Linked DNA regions of Kluyveromyces lactis. The protein of the gene in region 1 interacts with the protein of each later gene in a biochemical or structural test. Links are inferred from orthologs where the notes say so. Each region holds a gene or a part of one and is shown on either strand. Other genes may lie near its edges.

Region 1 (4,195 bases):
GTATTCATTAATATAATTTGGTTTTACTTCGGAGACCCTGTATTGCTTTGCCTGGCGAAAATATACCATTGCACTACTAGGTCGAATTAAAGATGAATTCAAGACCCAAAATTGGAAGGGATAGCTAAGACTGATGAATCTTTTAACCATATTAAAACCAGTTATCTCAAATATCCTGTTACACGTGATTAATAGATAATATTTAATCTCTACGTAAATTTAGCAACAAGTATTCCTCTGTATTGTAATTTATTACATTTCATTTTGCATCGAAAAAGACCTGTTATGTTTTGTGAAGGTTATGTATCTAACTGTACAAATCATCGTCATCTTCACCAGCGGCATCTCCGAAAGCTGCACCAGAACCCTCAGCACCAGCTTGAGTTGCGGCAGCACCTGAATCATCACCAAACGAGAAGTTGCCGAATTGTCCTCTGGATGCCTTCATCTGTTGAGCATAAGCTTCGTAACGACGAAGCTCAGTATCTGTAACAGAACGCTTGGCTGTTTTCATAGCTTCAGTGAAGTGTTCTTTGGTAATGAATGGAACTGGATCCTCTTGTTGAACGTCTGACATTTCAACGTCTTCTTCTGTCTTGACCTTCTCGGTTTCTTCTGCACCTTCTTCTTTCTTGACAACTTCTGCACGTTTTTGTGCCTCGATGGAATCTTTAATGGCAAACTTCGCAGCTCTCTGTACGATATATAATAAATCTGCACCAGAGAATCCCTGTGTAGCTTGAGCGATGGTCTTTAGATCTAGTCCTGGTTCTAATGGTGTATTTCTTAATTGGGCTGATAGAATAGATAATCTTCCTGTTTCGTCTGGTAATGGAACGTAGATCAATTGATCCAATCTACCAGGTCTTAAAATAGCTGGATCGATTTGATCTGGTCTGTTAGTGGCACCAATAACGAAAACGTTCTTCTTGGCGTTCATACCATCCATTTCGGTCAATAATTGGTTAACCACTCTGTCAGATGCACCACCTGCATCACCTAAAGAACCACCACGAGCCTTAGCAATGGAGTCCAATTCATCTAAGAAAACGACAGTTGGGGCTGCAGCTCTGGCTTTGTCGAAAATATCACGGATATTGGATTCGGACTCACCGTACCACATACTTAATAACTCAGGACCCTTGACCGAAATGAAATTAGCAGACACTTCGGTGGCGACAGCCTTAGCTAACAAAGTCTTACCAGTACCAGGAGGACCGTAGAACAACACACCCTTCGATGGTGACAAACCAAACTTGGTGTATTGATCTGGATGCAAGACTGGATATTCGACGGTTTCCTTCAATTCATCCTTAATTTCATCCAAGCCACCGATATCATCCCATGTGACATTAACAGATTCTACAACGGTTTCACGCAATGCGGATGGGTTGGAGTTACCCAATGCAAATCTGAAGTTGTCCATAGTAACTCCTAATGAGTCCAACACTTCGGCGTCAATTTCGTCTTCATCTAAGTCAATTAGGTCCATCTTTTCACGAATTTGTTGCATAGCAGCTTCAGAACATAGGGAGGCAATATCAGCACCAACATAACCATGGGTTTCAGCGGCCAACTTTTCTAAGTCGACGTCGTCAGCCAACTTCATATTTTTAGTGTGAATACGTAAGACTTCCAATCTACCAGTAACGTCAGGAACACCAATATCGACTTCTCTATCAAATCTACCGAATCTTCTCAAAGCAGGATCGATAGAATTGGGTCTATTGGTGGCTGCAATGACAACGATGTTGGATCTAGCCTTCATACCATCCATTAGAGTCAATAATTGAGAAACGACTCTTCTTTCCACTTCACCGTTAGTCTTGTCACGCTTTGGTGCAATAGAATCAATTTCATCGATAAAAATAATGGCCGGAGCATTCTTTTCTGCTTCTTCGAAAGCCTTTCTCAAGTTGGATTCAGATTCACCAGCCATCTTGGACATGACTTCTGGACCATTGATTAAGAAGAAAAATGCACCTGTCTCGTTAGCCACAGCTCTGGCCATTAGAGTTTTACCGGTACCTGGAGGACCGTACATCAAAATACCCTTCGGAGGTTTGATACCAATGGCCTTAAATAGTTGTGGGTGTCTCAATGGCAATTCGACCAATTCTCTAATTTGAGCCATTTGCTTACGACAACCACCAATATCATCATAACCGACTTCATTGATGTTATTTTCTTCATCTTCTCTGTTAATTGGCTCACCTTCACTATGAATGACAGTATCTTGGGCAACAACACCGTACTCTTCAGGCTCAACGTCTACGACCTTGAACTCTACTTGTCTCATACCACCTCTAACGATAAAGTGGTCACCTTTTCTAACCGGTCTATAAGCTTCGACAAAGTATGGCTTCAAGTACACATCAAATAGATTACCAGTCAACCCCTCGATGGTGTCAGCGATTGGCAACACTGAGATTCTGGAAGCATACTTGATATCGGTACATGGATGGATAGTGACCAAATCACCGAGTCTTATTCTCAAGTTGTTACGAATAACACGGTTTACTCTACAGACACCATCTTCCAGTTCGTCATCAATCATAACAATCAAAACGGTGTCCTTTCTCTTCTTACCCTTGACTAAAACGGTGTCACCACGGAACAATTGTAAAAGATCCATAGTGTTAGAATTGATAGCAATGATAGAATTGTCATCGTTAACTGCATCATCGACCAGTAACATGTTTTGCTTCTTCTTTCTTCTCAAGATGGCAGTGGCGGTAGCATCATCTGCGTCAGCTGCAGTGCCAGAACTATCTAACAATTTCTTATGTTCTTCTGGCATGTTCTCTTAATAACTGAGGTGAAAAGTTGTTTTAAAGATACTGTAATTCCTTCTGGTAGGATCCACGATGTAATTAAGCTCTTGGTAAACAGGATATGCAGGTTTCTTGATTAACTTCTGAAATTGGACCTTATTTCTTCTTATTTCAACCAAAAGACGGAAGATAAAACAAAAATTAAATAACTTGATCTAACCCCTAATCTGGTGATTCAATGATTCAATTAAAGGAGACAATTATTGTAAATCCCTGGTGAGTGCTTTATTTAATCTAGCGTTCACTTACTGGTGTTAATCCTGAAAATAACCTTCAAGGATCACCGAAAATAGTGTGCAATACTTATATATAATAAATCGCTTCCCTCTTTATAATCTAGAGATTTCAGAATTTGCCACCGGATATGTGAAATTTCGGCCGGGTAACAATATTTTTTCATCTCCTCTCTAAGAAGATCCCTCCCACAATGCGAATGAGCTATTGGATTCCTTATGTGAATGGTAAGTAGAAATTGGTACAGTAGGAAATATGTAGTTATAATATATATGAGACGATCTCAATGATCATCTTCGTTAGCTTCGTCAGCTTCGTCAGCTTCGTCATCTTCGTCATATCTTGGTCTCTTTCATTGCGAAAAAGATCGCGCTTAGGTTTCTAGTTTGGCAAGCAACTTTTTATGCATTTCACTCAGCTTAGCAAAATCAGTTTCCTGTGCAGGCCAACCTACGATTAATCCAGCATCCTTTGTTTTCTTTGGGATCAAATGGAAATGCACGTGATCTACTTCTTGATGGGCTATTCTACCGTTGTTTTGAAGGACATTGTACCCTGGACCATCAGGACCATCTTGGTCGAAGCCAATGGCTTTCACTAACTTCTTAGTAACTGGCAACAGGTCAGCTAAGTATTCATCTGGGATGTTGTGCAATTTCCCACCGTGGTGCTTTGGAATGATAAGAATGTGGTTCTCTTCAGTTGGTTGGATGTCAAGGAACGAGTAAGAATACTGAGTTTCAACCAATTTGAAAGAAGGGATTTCACCTGAAAGTACACCAGTAGTGGAATCTGTTAGTATTATAGTTCATAAGATCAAAGAGCTAGTCTAAGCCACTTGGGTGGTTGCGAGCATGCAAAAACCAAGGGGAGAAACAGATATTTGTTCTCACCTAACAATTTGAGGTTTACATACCTTTGATAATCTTGCAGAAAATACAAGCAGCGTCGTGGGCAACAGCACTCATTGGTATCGGCTTATTAAACGTTTGAATTCACACGTATCGGTACTTATTGCAATATTTCTTTCGACTGCGAAAATGTTGGAGAATCTGCAACTAATTGGAGTTCAGTCTTTTTTCATCATTATACATTTGTGTATTGGCCCTTATATATATGTTCTTATG
Region 2 (2,739 bases), on another chromosome or scaffold:
TTTCGAAACTGCATATGCCTTAAAGACTCATTTGAAGACTAAAATCCATAAGAGAAGGGTGAAGGAATTGAAAGGTGTTCCATACACTCAACAGGTAGCAGATGCTGCTGTTGGGTGTGGTGTGAACTCGTTCTTGGCTAGAGTAGAGCAGATCAAATCTCAAATTGGTCCTCAAAAGGAGGAAAACGAAAAGATATTAACCTCACATCTTGATACCACTTTGGCCAACGTCAGCACAACAGAATCCACTTTGCCATACCTTGATGGTGCAGTACAGGAACAAGCACAGCAAGAAGCTGTAGTTGCTGAAGGGGAAATTCAAATGGCTGATTAGATGCAGGAAAACATTTTCACTTCCTGTGCTTTTTCTTCAATGTATATTATCATTTAACACAAGAGAAATACACCGAAAGTGCAATTATATAAACTGGTAGATATACAGACGCTCATATATTAAGTGCTATTTCTTTCTTCAATATTATTCAATGGTTATATTTGTTTTATTTTTGCCTAAAATCAACATGACCAGTTTTCTCAGCGTGCTTGCTCACCTCTCGTTCTCCAATCAAGGTGGTGCCACAAGTATTGCATAAAATTGAATCTCTTGCAGTATTGAAAGACTTCCCCTCTCTTTTCATCTTCTTCGCGATCTCCTGTGTTTTTTGTAAAAGGAATTCAGTATCTTTCTCTCCGATGTCAAATACAGTTTGATGCTGAGTTCCATCAAATATCTCTACCGTATCATAATGAACTCCGTTATATGCTATAATAATAAATTTATCGTATAAATCCTCGTTGAATTTCTCGAATTTACGTGCATCCACATCGAGCACGTATATCGCATACTGAAAATGTTTCGATAATATTGCAATCTCGATACCACCTCCCCATGAAGAATGTTTCATTATCCACTCACTGTATTCATGATTCGGCCTGCCAAGAATAGCATCTGAATATTCAAATGGGTCTCTCCGGACTTCTGACGCCACAACTCCCCGTAGTTCTGATGACAGTGAAATGTTCTTGTAGACAGCATAGGATATAGCATGGAATAGACACGAATTGTCATCGGGCACTTCATGGAGTTGTAGTGCTCTAGTTGAATCTATCTGTACACTTTCAGATTTACCAGTGGGCTTCTTTTTCACTTCTTTATTGGGTAGTGTATTTGCTTTACTGGCATTAATACTTGGTTGTGTTCTGGTGGCAATAGCTTCATCGGCTTTACTCAGGCTCACTATGATCCGTTCCCCATTGCATATTCCTAGCTCTTCAAGTGTCTTAGCCTCATTCCCCTGAAAAAGTATACTCTGAGGTGGGAATCCGTACCGCATACTCTGCAATGATAGATCATCTTCATATGAGGACAGAATGAGTCCCTGAAATGTTTCCAAATCACATTCGGCTTCGACAGTTAAAACTTTGTCGCTCTTCCCAGAAATAGATACCTTGACCCTCATCTGCGAATAGGAAATATATTAAGTCTCGTTTAGCGGTGGTTATTCGACAGATATATATGGAAATGCTATGGCTATCCTCTTGGGGATGGATAGATAGTCTGTTGTTCTATCCGATTTTCCCCTTATTGCTTAGGCACTTAGAGGATTCCAAAAACAGATCACATGCTCAAGTGAAATTAACCCGTACATCACAGCAAACATTTTTCTTTGCATGCAAGAACAGTAAACGTCAAAACCACAACGAGATGAGATGAGATGACAGGTTGAGTGCATGAAGAAATAATGGAACTTTTAGTTTATTGGCACCAGTGGTGGATCAGCTGCTGTTGGGCAAGCGTTGTGTCAGCTTGAGTTATAGATGCGATTTGGAAAATAGGAGAAGAACCCGTTAAACTGAATAATCTTTTTAAATCCCAGCTTTTTCCTTTTACTCGAAAGAATATACGGTACCCGAATTAATTAAACACTGCTACTCCATCTGATACAATGAAATCCAGTTCACACTTAAAGCAAGAAGCTCTTAATTATAGATTCAATTCAAATGTGCCTCTGAAATTGTATCTGACAACTTGCATTAGCATTGTCGAGGAAGCTCAAAATAGTGCCAGGTGCAATAATATGGAGCGCGCATATCTTCTTTATATTAGATACTTAGATCTTTGTCTGAATAGACTTGTGCATCATTCAGAAGTTAACACATCAGTGGAATCGTTATACAAAAGAGAATACTTCCAACTGCTGAAGTTGGAAGTCCCTGCTATCATGAAGATTACTGAGGAATTGAAAATCAAAATAGATGCAAGATACAAGTCATTGGCAAACAATGTTGCGACATCGACCTACGTGAGATCGCCGGCTGTCATGACGACAAATCCTTCGGATGAAATTAATCTTCCGAGTTCCTTTGATGAACAAAAATTCAACCAATCTATAAGTTGGTTTAATCACAGTTCAAAGCATTTTTCAGCACAGTCAGACTCTAACAATGAATATCCCGAATTACCAGAACTCAATGCGACATCCACGTCGGTCACATATACCATGCCAGCATTATAGATTTATCTTTACTAATTTAGCATCTCCTTGCATATAGTCACCTATACACTAATTTTACCTTGTTTTCCGCGTTTAACATTTACGCATTTCAGTTTCATCATCAGTCATTACAGATATTCATAAATGTTACAAATACTATGAGAAAAATGTTATTACCTTTGAACTAGATACCAGATACAGTGTTTCGGATGATGAAGACTAGAACCTCTCATTTCATGTTAGG
Region 3 (3,069 bases), about 430 kb from region 1:
CGTAGAAGATAAATAATCGGCATCTGATAGAGAAACTTTAAGCTTTGATAGTAATTTTTCTGCAAGCAAAGAAGGATTTTTACAAAGGCCATTTTCATCTGCAAATTTCGGATTTGTTTGATACCATGTATGTTTCCGTAAAGTATCCAAAGAAGCTCTTTTCTCTGGATCTGGTTGTAATATTTTTCTCAAGAGATTCAATTCAACGAAATCTATCTTCAGCCAAGATCCCTGATCTAGCTTTCCTTCGCCTTTAATAAAGTTTCTAAACGTTTCATCGTCCTCGTGAGGAAGTTCCCAAGGCGTTTCTCCAGTCAACAAAACGAATAATAGAACACCAATGGACCAAATATCTGTCATATCAGCATAGTACCCATCACAGTATATTATTTCCGGTGCCATGTAGGGAAGACTTCCTCGTTGATCTCTAGAAATACGTTTTGATCCATCTTTTCTCTTGAACAGCGATGCTAGCCCAAAATCTGCAAGTTTTAAATTCCCATCTTTATCCAATAGGATATTTTCCGGCTTGATATCCCTATGGGCAACACCACAGGTATCATGCAGATAACTTATAGCTTTTATAAGTTGTTTATAATAGAATTGGGCGACTTCCGAGTCGACTCCAATGTCAGGTTCGATTTTATCGAAAAGATCACCACCTTCAGCCAGTTCCATGGCTATCCAAAGAAACGGATCAGAAAGATTGCAATCTATAACCTTTAGCACATTAACAAAATTAGAGCATCTAGAATGTAACTTAACTTCCCTCAACACATCTTCCTGACTCATACCTTGTTTCTCACATGAAGGAAGATGTATGAATTTGACAGCAATTACAGTGGACGGATCAACTTCTAAACTAGCTCTCTTCACAAAGGCAAAGGAGCCCTTCCCAATTGTTCTTCCTAGTTGTAATCCATCAATATGAGGGAGCTGAGCTATCTGTGAAAAGCTCATCAATACATCAATCGAAGTGTTCTTCTTTTACTTCTTTTTTGTTCTTGTCGGTTCGTATCTCAGAAATCTCCAGCTATATCAGCCAAACGCACATTCAATATTTACGCAACTGATGTGCTCAAAATATCATCCAACCGTCCTAACTGAACCCCAAGTGATTTACCTAGGATAACACGTCGGAGACTCGTATATAAATCCCGTTTTCCCCATAAGTATCATCATAAAACTATTGTTTTTCTTTTCTGATCAGATCTGCGATAGTCATTAGTTTCTGTCATTTCTTTGCATTTATAAAAACGTACATTGAAAGGGGTTTTACTACGTTTATAGTTTAATCAGTGAACAATAAACAAATCCGATACTGTTGATAGAAGCAACGAAGCAGTGGTGAGCTTTTTAGGAGTGGTAAGTGTAAGATTAGGCAAATATGAATACGATGGATACACTGGATACGCATTTTGTTTCCTCTGTGGAAAATGCGGTACAAGAATCATTGCGAGAGAACAAGGCGTTATTGGTTTATACTACGGGCGGAGATAATTCGTGGTTTGAGTCGTGGTTTACACCACTTGTAGGGGAGCAGTTGAAGGATTCGTGCGTTTGGTTACGTTTAGCTGCTGGAAGCAGGGAAATGGGTTACTTTGAGCAAATATTCCCGGATGTGAAGGTTCCTAGCGTTTATTGTATTGCTAAGGGACAAATAGTGGAGATGATAAATCCAGATCAGTTGGACATGGACGGATTTGCTACTAGGTTGATCCGGGCAGTTGGTAAAAGCAAGAGGAGAATCTCTGAAACGGATGCCGTTGATGCATCCAATACCGTTGGTGCCGCTGGTGATACCGGCGCCAGGTCCGGTAGCTGTCTGTCACAAAATGCGAAATTGATGGAGTACCAAATAAAGGCCAAGAAGCACCAGTTGACAGAACAACAGGAAAGAGAACGTATTGTTAGATTGATGAAAGCGGACCGTGAAGAAATGAAGCAACGAAGATTATCGTCATCATCTCCAAATCATACTAAGGAACACATCAATGAAGTATTGGCTGTACCCATTCACGATAATATTAAAAACAGAGATATAATAAACGCAGCAGTGTGCACCTTGCTTATAAGATTAACAGACGGTAAGACATTGAAAAACGATTTCGATTCGTCTCAAACTTTAAACGATGTAAGGACTTGGGTGGATGCCAATAGGACAGATAAGGATGGTCCGTACCAGTTCCATCGAAGTATTCCACGTGAAACTTTCACAGAATCACAAGAATTACTATCTTTGAAAGCTCTGGAGCTTACTCCAAGATCTGCATTAATCTTGAAGCCTTTGGAAAAGCATACATATTCTCGTAAGATTGCAGATGTAGAAGGACCAGGTTTGCTTGGGAAAATGTATCAGAACGTGACGTCCTGGTGGTACGGTAAATCAACGGTTGTTGATCAAAATATTCCTGAACCTGCTGAAGCATTAACATCTCAAGCTTCATCTAGATATGTTTCTCCCTTATCTTCCCCTCGTCTGGTACACTCTGATGCATCGATACCCTCAAGAGCTGTCTCTCCATCTTCTATACATTACGGCCATGTCTCAGACGACAACAGCAGATAGCACACCTGATTTATGAATCGCCTTTATGTTAAATATCATATGTATGCATGAACGAATTAAATATACATATTAATACCAAATATGAGCAATCACTCTTATCGGAAGAATTAGGCCAACAGTTTCTCGGTCATCTCTTCCTTTTTCGGTTCCTTCACTTCCGTCTTCTCTGCACGAGGAGAGTCCCTGCTCGATACCCTCAAGGATCCAAGTTTCTTTATCAAATCTTCTGTTGAGCCAGATTCCAAAGGTGCTGCAGATTTTTGTTCTTCGATCTTCTTTTTCTCCTTCTCTTTTGTATCCTCTGTTGATAGCTCCTTCTCTAACAGTGACAATTCTTCTTCAAGAGCATCATTGTCGGAAACCGACTCTCCTACTAACAAATTATGAATACGGTCTTGCTTCTCTGTATTTTCTTGGAAATCATCTAATATGTTTGAAATAGAATCTTCATCTAAAAGTTGTGAATTGATAGCCTTCAAAGCGGTACTGCCTTGTTTTAA
Region 4 (3,819 bases), on another chromosome or scaffold:
CATACTGCATGGTGTTGACGTGTCTGGTTCATATTAGTTTGAATTTGTTGAAATGAGTTAGTAAAATGTTCGGTTTGCTTCTGATGTAGAAATCTGTAACTGGAATGAAAACTGGTTAGAACATACTTTTCCTTCAGCAATGCTCTCTAAGTCCCGCTCAAAAGACATTTTAAAACGTGTGATTGTTTTTTATTGGTCAGCTAGTGCCTCAATTGAACTTATTCACCCTTGAAATTGTCAATCTTTCGTTCAAACCTTTACTTACATGTTAAATGTAAACTTTGACTAAACTTTCCTTTATAATTTTTCAAGAAATGCTTATGTACATGAATAGGATTAAAGAAGAGACGAGCGCTTCAACTACTCTAATGATGATTGAATTATGATCCACTCACTAGCATTGACAGAACACCACCATATTTGATAACTTGATAGCAAATTAACCCGGAGAAGTTGTATCTTTATGTATGTATGTAATATTTAATGATCAAAGACTACCATCATCTAAATAAGTCTTCGAATACATCTTCGAATCTACCTATCTTACCGTATTTATCCTTAGCTCTGATAATCCAGGAGATGGATTTAGCGTATTGATGTAACGATGGTTCTACAGTGGCTAGATTTCCGTAAGCGATTAGGAGTCTATATGTAGCTTCTTCACTGTTGAGGAACAGAGATGATGATCCGTATTTTGTATTAAGTACATCAGCAATGATTGGAAGAATTTGTTGATCATTGGATTCCAGGATGTATACGGTATAATTGAAGAGTAGAGTGGCGATTGCAATAGCCAAGTTGTCTTTTTGTTGAGGTTTGCAATTTGGATAATCACCGTCCAATATTTGGAACACGGAATCGTACAATGCTGGCTTACCCATGAGCTCTTTCCCCCAAATTTGGTTAGAGAAACAGTTGGCTAACATTCTTGTAGTTAGCATTGTAGAGATTGGATTTTCTTGTGAAAGTCCTTCCTCGATAAACTCACTCATGTCGTCACTTGAAGGTAACTTTGGGGTTAGAATTCTAACTATATCGTATGCGGGTGTTTTGTTCCCCTTCCATTGATTTTTAATGATGCATGCATGCGCATACAATAGTTCAATGTTGTTTTCCACATCGTGCAAAGCTGAACCGATTGCCCCAAGTGCGTCATCGTCAAAGGTATTTTCTGCCTGATTAAGTTTCACAATACCATTGAACAAAGAATCTGGGTTGAAAGATGTAAGTTTTAGGTACTTCTTCACGGGGAATATCTTATAATTGACGTCTGCATGTCTGGAAATATCAGAAGGTTGATCTAATGTAGTCGACTTAGTATTTGTCACAATGAATTGGACAATTTGATCCTTATAACTTGTTGGCAACTCGTATCTAATTATGAATTTATCTGCAACATCGTACGGATTATCGTTTGCATTGACGGGTAGTTTCAACGGTGGTTTGCCTTCTTCGATGTCAACATCAAACACGAAATCGTAATTCTTACCCTCATATTCAACCTTATTATCGCTACCGGCAGATGAAACAACGTCTCCGACTTTACTCCAAGAACCTCCCGTGAACTGATGTGCCTCTATAACACCATTCTCATTCTTGACAACAACAATCTGACCCTCCTTTTCACCCGGCTTCTGAAGCACTGACGATGGTTTCAACTTCGATTCGTCAAACCCCATCGTCTGTGCGTTAACGGCAGATTCCTCCACTTGTTTTTGCAAAGATGTGATCTCTTCCTGGGATGCAAGTCTTTGCTCATTCTCAGTAAAGATTCTGATGATTTTGTCACTGCTACCAACAACAATATCGCCATTGGGTAACACATCGACGGTCCAAATGGAGATCGCTGGTAAAGTAATGACTTGTTTGATAGTTCCATCCATGTTCCAAATACGAACGGTTCTATCCTCACCACAAGACACAATATCTCCGCTTGGCAGTTGTTTCACAGCATAGACAAAGCTTTCATGACCTATAAACTCGTGCAAAATACCGCCTTCCAAGTTGGATAGCTTCAAAGTACCATCGTTGGAACAACTAACAAAATGCTTTCCATCGTCAAGAATACATATATTTCTAACCACATCGGAATGTAACTTATCAAAAGTCTTAGCCAGCGTACCATTTTTCCATAACTTAACTGTAGTATCTGCTGACGCTGTAAGGACGCTCCCATCGTTCAAGAGCTTGGCATCCCATACAGAGGCCGAATGTCCCTTAAGTTCCCATTTTACAATCCCATTAGTCCACACTTTAGCAGTCTTGTCCCAAGAGGAGCTCACTAGGCTTTCAAAGTCTCCAGAAAGTGAGCAAATGTTCCCCTCATGGCCTACTAAAGTATAAACCGGTTCTTGCCCCAGAGCAAGCAACGGAGACACACCGTAAATAATCTTTTCTTGGCCACCGCAAAATAGAACACACTGCTTAGCATCGTACGTCAAACTGTTCACAAACTTTTCACTGCTAAACGCAATAGAACCTTCCCAATTCCCATCCGCATCCAAATTCCATATCCTAACTGTACCATCTCTAGAGGCACTTGCCACCTGAGTCGTACTTAAAGAAACCACACTCCTCACGTCCTGTGTGTGACCACGCAATTGTGCGCTAAGTTGGTACATCTCTCACTTAAAATTGGTACCAGTACAATTACAACTATTAGACCTATCAAATAAAATCACCTGAACCTGATTAAAATACTTTGTATACTTGGAAAGCCCTGTTTTATTCAGTAGTTGCTCTTTCCCACGCTAATACCTTTATTTTTGACATTCGCTTAGTTGTTTAAATCAAACTTTCGAAATAAACAAATTCAGTTACGCAACTTTATCATGAATTAGTTTATCAAGTACACGAGACACGCCAACAGAGGATCCAATTGTACCTGAATTTGCTGAATCGTATTCAATTCAGTGCTCTGAGAATCTCCTTAGAAAATGAGAGGTCCGTTACTTGTGTGCCAGGAGAAGGATAGGGTCCTGTTAAAGGTAGCCAGTTCTTCTTCGAAGAACGACGCGGTTCTAAATGTGTCAACACACGAGAACGAGGTGAACGTTTTGGGCAGTACTGAGTTTCCTGTTCGTGGAAATATCATGAAGGTGGCTGCGTTGATCGGTATCATCAAGTTGAAGTTCGGTAAGTACGTGATTATTGCCAATAGAGTCGAGGAAGCTGGTTGTTTGAACGGTCATAATGTGTACAAGGTGGCTGAGCACACGATTATCAGCGTTGATAAGAAGCAGAGACCAGATTCTGATGAGTCTCAGTATTTGCAGTTATTGGAACAGCATTTAGCTGGTGCGACTCTGTTCTATTCGTATGGTTACGATTTGACAAACAGTGCTCAAAGGAACGAAGAACTAGAGTCATCAGCTGTGTCGTGGGAACAAGCGGACAGGAGGTTCTTTTGGAACTATTACGTGACAGAATCCTTGCAGAAGCTTGCTAAAGTTGATGACAGGGTATCAGACTTCATTATTCCTATGATCTATGGGTATGCTAAGGTTGTTGATACTGTTTTCCATGCGACTCCGATTTCGATTGGATTGATCACGAGAAGGAGTATATTTAGGGCCGGAACTAGATATTTCCGCAGAGGCATTGACGAACACGGTAATGTTGGTAACTTCAACGAGACAGAGCAGGTGCTGTGTGTTCAAAAGCCAATGAAGGATGGCTATCACTTCTTCTCTTTTTTACAAACGAGGGGTTCCGTGCCAGTTTATTGGGCAGAGTTGAACAATTTAAAGTACAAGCCGAACTTGTTGTTGGCTGAGAACAGCTCGTTAGATGCAACCAAGAAGCATTTCGATGAACAAA
Region 5 (2,519 bases), about 2.0 Mb from region 1:
TAATGGTAGACAAAATGATAAGTTGAGGGGATCAGTTTCCTTAATGGCTGCCTCAATCAAAATTGTGTCTATTATTATCTGCTTGCGTTCAATTTTAGGGTGACTGTTGACTCCTATGATCGTATTGATATTCCATGTTCTTTAACCGATTGCCATTTGTTATTCTTTAGATCAATGATCTTTTTACGGTTGACACCAATCTTAATCATGTTTTCGTTTCTAACCTTAAGTGAATTCAAATCTAAAAAAGATTTATGTGGCACTTCCATACATCTTTTGTTTAGTTTCCCGACGGCCTCATGTAATTTGTTTTCTATTTGGTTGGGCAGCGGTGGCTTCATTACTGTTGACATTCAAATACTTTATAACTAAATAAAATTACTGTTGTAATCTTTTCTTTGTCAAGGTTTCCAAGTAGGGAAGTAATAAGATAATGAATATGTAAACCAACATTCCTTGGTTATCTAATTTCATCTCTTTATGATCTCAGATGTTGCAGTTCACGTCAAATCCATAATTTCTATACCCCCAGCGGTTTCTAACTTGGTGACTTCAATATTATGATTCTCTTCGTTTGAATCATCATCAAGAAGTTCTATTACTAGATCTTCTTGAACAGGCATATAGTTTTTCTGATCATTTGAGTTGCAGCATGTTTTGTTATCCGCTGCCCTTTTATCTGCCGCGATTGCTGCCATTTCTCTAGCATTCCTTCTTGGTCCTGTTCCAGGTGTCGTACCACCTAGTCTTCTTCCTTTACCTCTTTCTAATGTCTTTCCAATAATAATCGACCCCATCGGTTTGCTACCCAATCTTTTCCCGGTGCCGAGAAAGCTGTCGTAAAGTCCCATTTGTTCAATGGTCCATTGTCTTCCCGATAATTGATCCAGCTTTTCGTAAAACTTTCGGTCATGAGGACCATGTAAATTATGGGTAAGCTCATGAAGCATGGTACCCATAATAGATTCTATCGGTAGAAATTTATATTCGTCTAATGGGTCTCTAAGCCGCAACATGATCTTCATGCCTTTGTTCACGTTCATACCTAAAAGTGATCGATTCCGTGGATAAAACTCAACTAATTGTCTTACTTTGAACCTTTCCTCTTTCATCAGATACGATACGTTATGAGCGACCCTTTTCAATATGTTTAATGCATCGTTTTTTCCTGGTTTTGTTTGCAATACTGCAATGCTTCCTACATGCGGATTCTTTTGTATCGGAGGAACCATCTGTGCGTTGTCCGTATATAGGCTGTCATTAATTTTCAATAGCGCAACTTTTTTAGTTAGTTCATATCCATAGGATATTCTACTGTTATCATCCGCAGTAGTATCCAATACTAAAATCCAATTTTTCCTTTGGTCTCTTCGTTTGATGTGTCTCCAAATGGAGGTTCTTTTGAAATGTTTAAATACGATTCTTAAAACAAAAATCGATAGTCCACTATTTCAACTAAATTTTTTAAAAATACATATCGTACAAACCACATTCCTTTCTAATTTATTCTAAAGTGTCCACACACCCTGAGATTTCCAATCGATTTTAGGATCCACCAATACAACTCAAGCTTACGTACAGTTCCACAGTGATTTAATTGACCTGTGAAACAATATATTTATTGGTAATAAACTAAATTATTGTCGTTCATCAAAAACATGACAGAAAGCGCGTCGAATAGCACGGGATCAAAGTACGGAAGCTCAGAGTCGTCCAACTTGTTGACGAAGCCTGCATTGTATGGACTATATGATGCTGATGTGCTCAAGAGCGAGGACTCAGAGATCTATGAAGAAGTTAAAAAAGCATCAAGTGGTAAAGAATTAGAAAATGGAATAGTACAACGTGCTAAGAAAATCCCTAGTTCTGTCAATGTGGCTTTAGCATGGGTTGTACTATCGATAGCAGGCATCGCTTATCATGAATTATCAAAGAACTTACATGATAATCATGAATTGCATAATGACTTTACTTCCCGCCCGTTATTATTGGGTGCCACTATTGCACAATCATTAAGTTTTGGGTATTTACCACCTTGGACATTTTACGCCATCGAAGGTATACTTTTCGGAAGTATCGTTCCATTTGTAAACTGGATACTTGGAACCTTTGATCGGCAACCAACCACTATTTCTAGTGTTTTAAGATCTACAAATGCCATGTTAGGTGTTTCTTTTGGGATTCGTAGAATTGAATGGTCTTCCAGTTTACAAGCAAGTGGTGCATGGTTCTTACTCAACATTATCCTTTGGTTGTTCTTTGACAGCTCATTTACTATGCTAGCATCTGGTTTGGCTATTGGTTTAGTCACTTGCGTGACCTGCTATCAAGACATTACCGATAGCGCACAGTTGTTATATTTCATTGATTTCTACTTCCTTGGTCTACTATTCTTCACAAGACTAGGAAAATTTTTATACCGTCAATAAATATATATGTATAAGTTCAGCGGCAATTACCTCATGTCACAATATTTATACGAACATCTTCTTTCCTAAAGTTTATAATACTAATCCTAT
Region 6 (2,572 bases), on another chromosome or scaffold:
TCGGAAATTGTATTTGTCACATAACGAGTCCTAGTGTAATTACGGCGAGTATTAATTGTCTTCTTGAGATGTCAGTATAATGCACAGAAGCAACTAGAAACAATGCTCGAGCGTACAAAGTCGATTGAGAGCCTACCTTAAAATCCCCAGCCACCAAATTATCTTGGTTTAGTCACCTTGACCGGGCCACTCTTTGGCAGATTAATACTTACGTTCTTTGTGAGAAATCACTGCGGCCGCAGGGTATTTCCAAATGTAAGAACCGTCCATATTTGCCGCAGTTGCTATTACCCGGATTTGTAGCTTGGGCGAAACGCACTCGGCTGGTACCATGTCTGTAGCTTGATGCAGTAATGTTTCGACAACTTAATCTGTCACGTGACAAGTGTCATTGTGTTTGACTGTAAGACGTAATTACGAAACTACATGAACTATGCTATAAGTAAAGACCAAAAGAATGTGCTATTTTATCCTTCAGATTCCATTACGCGGCGTTGCAATCATCGACCTAACCCTCTTACCAAATATAAAGTATCACCTTCCTGGATGGTGGCATTGACTCGCGCACTCGAGGGTAATAGATGCTGAGTAGAAGCATCACCTTTGTACAAAAATAACTTCTCATCTGTTGATATCGAATGGTCGATGTTTGAATTTTTCACGTTTAGCACAGATGCCAAGGAATCCAAAGCTCTTCCAATTGGCCACATCTTATTTATGAACACTTCATTCGCGATGGGTTTCTTATCCGAAGAGTCCGCCACCACGTAACACCATGCGTATATTCTATTTGCGACAGGGATAGAATCATCTCCCTTTGCAGTGCGCTTCATCTTAGTGACTTGTATTAGCTTATTGGCAGAAGAAAATTTGGTAGTAGATTTCTTACTCTCGAATAATTTACCGTTCTTGGCGAAAAAATGCCGTAGTTTATCGATAGCTACACGAGAACTGGAGGTTTTACTGTTGAAAAGCTTCGATTTTAGGTTATCTACCGGTGGTTTCGAGTTATCCTCTTGCATCATGGTCTTTATCCGATCTGGTGCTCTGGCAGGTAACAAAGATTGAAAGAAGCTACCACCATTGTCCTTCTTCGGAGTGACAGCAGCAGCAGCAGCAGCAGGAATACTAACTGTGACACTGCTGCGGCTATTCTTACCTATCTTCAGTGATTCACAGTGATGATCTTCCTTCAATCTATGGTTGGCACAAAAATCACCGTTGCAAGCAGAACAATGGAACGGTAGGAAATCAGTCTGTCGACAAAACGAACAGTGTGTGCCGACATCTAGCATACCAACTTCTTTAGTCATTGTTTATCAACTGTATTATTTCTTCTTTTAGCCCTTGATCAGTCTTGGTCCCGGACCTGGAGTTCTATAAAACACAAATAACACAAATCGATATCAAAGTGAGAAACTCATCCCAAGTGGCAAACAACCTGTGTATATTATCGGCCTTGCCAGGTGCTCTTTATATATATAAGCGATATGACAAATACGTCCCGCCATCCATATCATAGCCAGTGATGATCTCTGCCTTACTCATCTTCATTTTACACAAGTCTATGAGAGAATACTGTGGAAGATGCCAGCAAAATCACGTGACAAATGTATTTATAATATTCGGGTAACGAGTGTTCCTGTCTCAATGTGTCAATTACAGCTACTCTTAATAGTAACACAAACGGAGCTATTCCAATGGTCTTCTCTCCTATACAGTACATTCAGCCGAGGCTACAGGTTTATTCTTTACATAAATGTTGTTCTCCAGTGATCATGCTGGGTGTCTCCAGAAGTTTTTCCACTCGAGTTTCTAATCACCATGTAGAAACTGACATCTCTTCGAAAGGCTTGTCAGTCCCAATTGTAAAGAGTGTATATTCAGTTTCTACGAGAAGGGAAAACCACTTGGAAAATCCATCAGTTGGAATGGATAGCTGAGGTATTAATATTTTGCAATTTTTTGCATGTTCAAACTACCCACATAACGAGCATGGTATTTAAGGGAGCACAGTTCCAGCTGAAACAACTCGTAATAATAAGGATCTTAGTAATTCCTAGTTCCCCTTTCTTATATTTCAAATACTCCCTATATAATACCGACCAACTTCTGTCTGACAGCCGACAACAAAGTGGTCTACCGATTGCATATCACATCATTTTAACCACAGCGTATCCTTCACAAACCAGCGTAGAAACCAGTTTTCACCATTTTTTTCGTTTCTTTGAGCAGGTTAACATTATTGAAAAATCATATAACGTTTGATTTGAAAGAACTTTACGAAAGGAAAAGGACAGGGAAAATTCTAAGAACAGGTGTTGGTATATTCTGAAATAGAACGTCTAAGAAATCACTAAGTTTCCAACCAATTTAGGAAAGCTGAGCGACCATATTTGCATAGCGTGCTGGGAAAAGAAAAAGGTTAGCTGACGATATGGGTTTATGTGCCTCAAAGGATTCTCGGGAGTCGACTCACGATGGGGGTCCCAGAGTGAATCGTCCCGGTGCAAACGATGCTAACAGGCGGAATGATGTTAGGAAAGGAGCTGGTGACAAGAAGCAGGACAAG

The links.
Region 2: the proteins of CDC48 (region 1) and OTU1 form a complex in vitro, tested with the Saccharomyces cerevisiae proteins (3 studies listed by BioGRID). The link is inferred for Kluyveromyces lactis from reciprocal best matches to the Saccharomyces cerevisiae genes CDC48 and OTU1.
Region 3: the proteins of CDC48 (region 1) and KLLA0_F01298g form a complex in vitro, tested with the Saccharomyces cerevisiae proteins (2 studies listed by BioGRID). The link is inferred for Kluyveromyces lactis from reciprocal best matches to the Saccharomyces cerevisiae genes CDC48 and UBX7.
Region 4: the proteins of CDC48 (region 1) and DOA1 form a complex in vitro, tested with the Saccharomyces cerevisiae proteins (4 studies listed by BioGRID, with this or other methods). The link is inferred for Kluyveromyces lactis from reciprocal best matches to the Saccharomyces cerevisiae genes CDC48 and DOA1.
Region 5: the proteins of CDC48 (region 1) and WSS1 form a complex in vitro, tested with the Saccharomyces cerevisiae proteins (2 studies listed by BioGRID, with this or other methods). The link is inferred for Kluyveromyces lactis from reciprocal best matches to the Saccharomyces cerevisiae genes CDC48 and WSS1.
Region 6: the proteins of CDC48 (region 1) and CUZ1 form a complex in vitro, tested with the Saccharomyces cerevisiae proteins (3 studies listed by BioGRID). The link is inferred for Kluyveromyces lactis from reciprocal best matches to the Saccharomyces cerevisiae genes CDC48 and CUZ1.

Annotation. Positions count from the first base shown.
Region 1 is NC_006042.1:553,099-557,293, forward strand, and holds CDC48 (AAA family ATPase CDC48), read right to left. Parts: upstream 2,801-4,195; coding exon 308-2,800; downstream 1-307. Other genes in the region: HNT1 (adenosine 5'-monophosphoramidase), read right to left, coding at 3,442-3,836, 3,985-4,036. UniProt on the Saccharomyces cerevisiae protein: ATP-dependent chaperone which probably uses the energy provided by ATP hydrolysis to generate mechanical force to unfold substrate proteins, disassemble protein complexes, and disaggregate protein aggregates.
Region 2 is NC_006040.1:484,474-487,212, reverse strand, and holds OTU1 (ubiquitin-specific protease OTU1), read right to left. Parts: upstream 1,461-2,739; coding exon 501-1,460; downstream 1-500. Other genes in the region: BUD20 (Bud20p), read left to right, coding at 1-334; RFU1 (Rfu1p), read left to right, coding at 1,947-2,516. UniProt on the Saccharomyces cerevisiae protein: Hydrolase that can remove conjugated ubiquitin from proteins and may therefore play an important regulatory role at the level of protein turnover by preventing degradation.
Region 3 is NC_006042.1:120,601-123,669, forward strand, and holds KLLA0_F01298g (UBX domain-containing protein), read left to right. Parts: upstream 1-1,387; coding exon 1,388-2,569; downstream 2,570-3,069. Other genes in the region: serine/threonine protein kinase CHK1, read right to left, coding at 1-960; phosphatidic acid-binding protein CHM7, read right to left, coding at 2,677-3,069. UniProt on the Saccharomyces cerevisiae protein: Involved in CDC48-dependent protein degradation through the ubiquitin/proteasome pathway.
Region 4 is NC_006038.1:1,263,418-1,267,236, reverse strand, and holds DOA1 (Doa1p), read right to left. Parts: upstream 2,622-3,819; coding exon 501-2,621; downstream 1-500. Other genes in the region: YRA2 (Yra2p), read right to left, coding at 127-168; phosphatidylinositol-3-phosphatase SAC1, read left to right, coding at 2,937-3,819. UniProt on the Saccharomyces cerevisiae protein: Ubiquitin-binding protein involved in protein ubiquitination, sorting and degradation. Acts as a ubiquitinated substrate-recruiting adapter for chaperone ATPase CDC48 by binding mono- or polyubiquitin chains.
Region 5 is NC_006042.1:2,579,010-2,581,528, forward strand, and holds WSS1 (metalloendopeptidase WSS1), read right to left. Parts: upstream 1,233-2,519; coding exon 501-1,232; downstream 1-500. Other genes in the region: KLLA0_F27841g (uncharacterized protein), read left to right, coding at 1-103; KLLA0_F27885g (uncharacterized protein), read left to right, coding at 1,659-2,429. UniProt on the Saccharomyces cerevisiae protein: Metalloendopeptidase that acts selectively on DNA-binding proteins. DNA is needed to bring the protease and substrates together to enable proteolysis.
Region 6 is NC_006040.1:935,604-938,175, reverse strand, and holds CUZ1 (Cuz1p), read right to left. Parts: upstream 1,314-2,572; coding exon 501-1,313; downstream 1-500. Other genes in the region: GPA2 (guanine nucleotide-binding protein subunit alpha), read left to right, coding at 2,438-2,572. UniProt on the Saccharomyces cerevisiae protein: Promotes efficient arsenite-induced clearance of stress granules (SGs). May have a role in the ubiquitin-proteasome system (UPS) protecting cells from metalloid-induced proteotoxicity.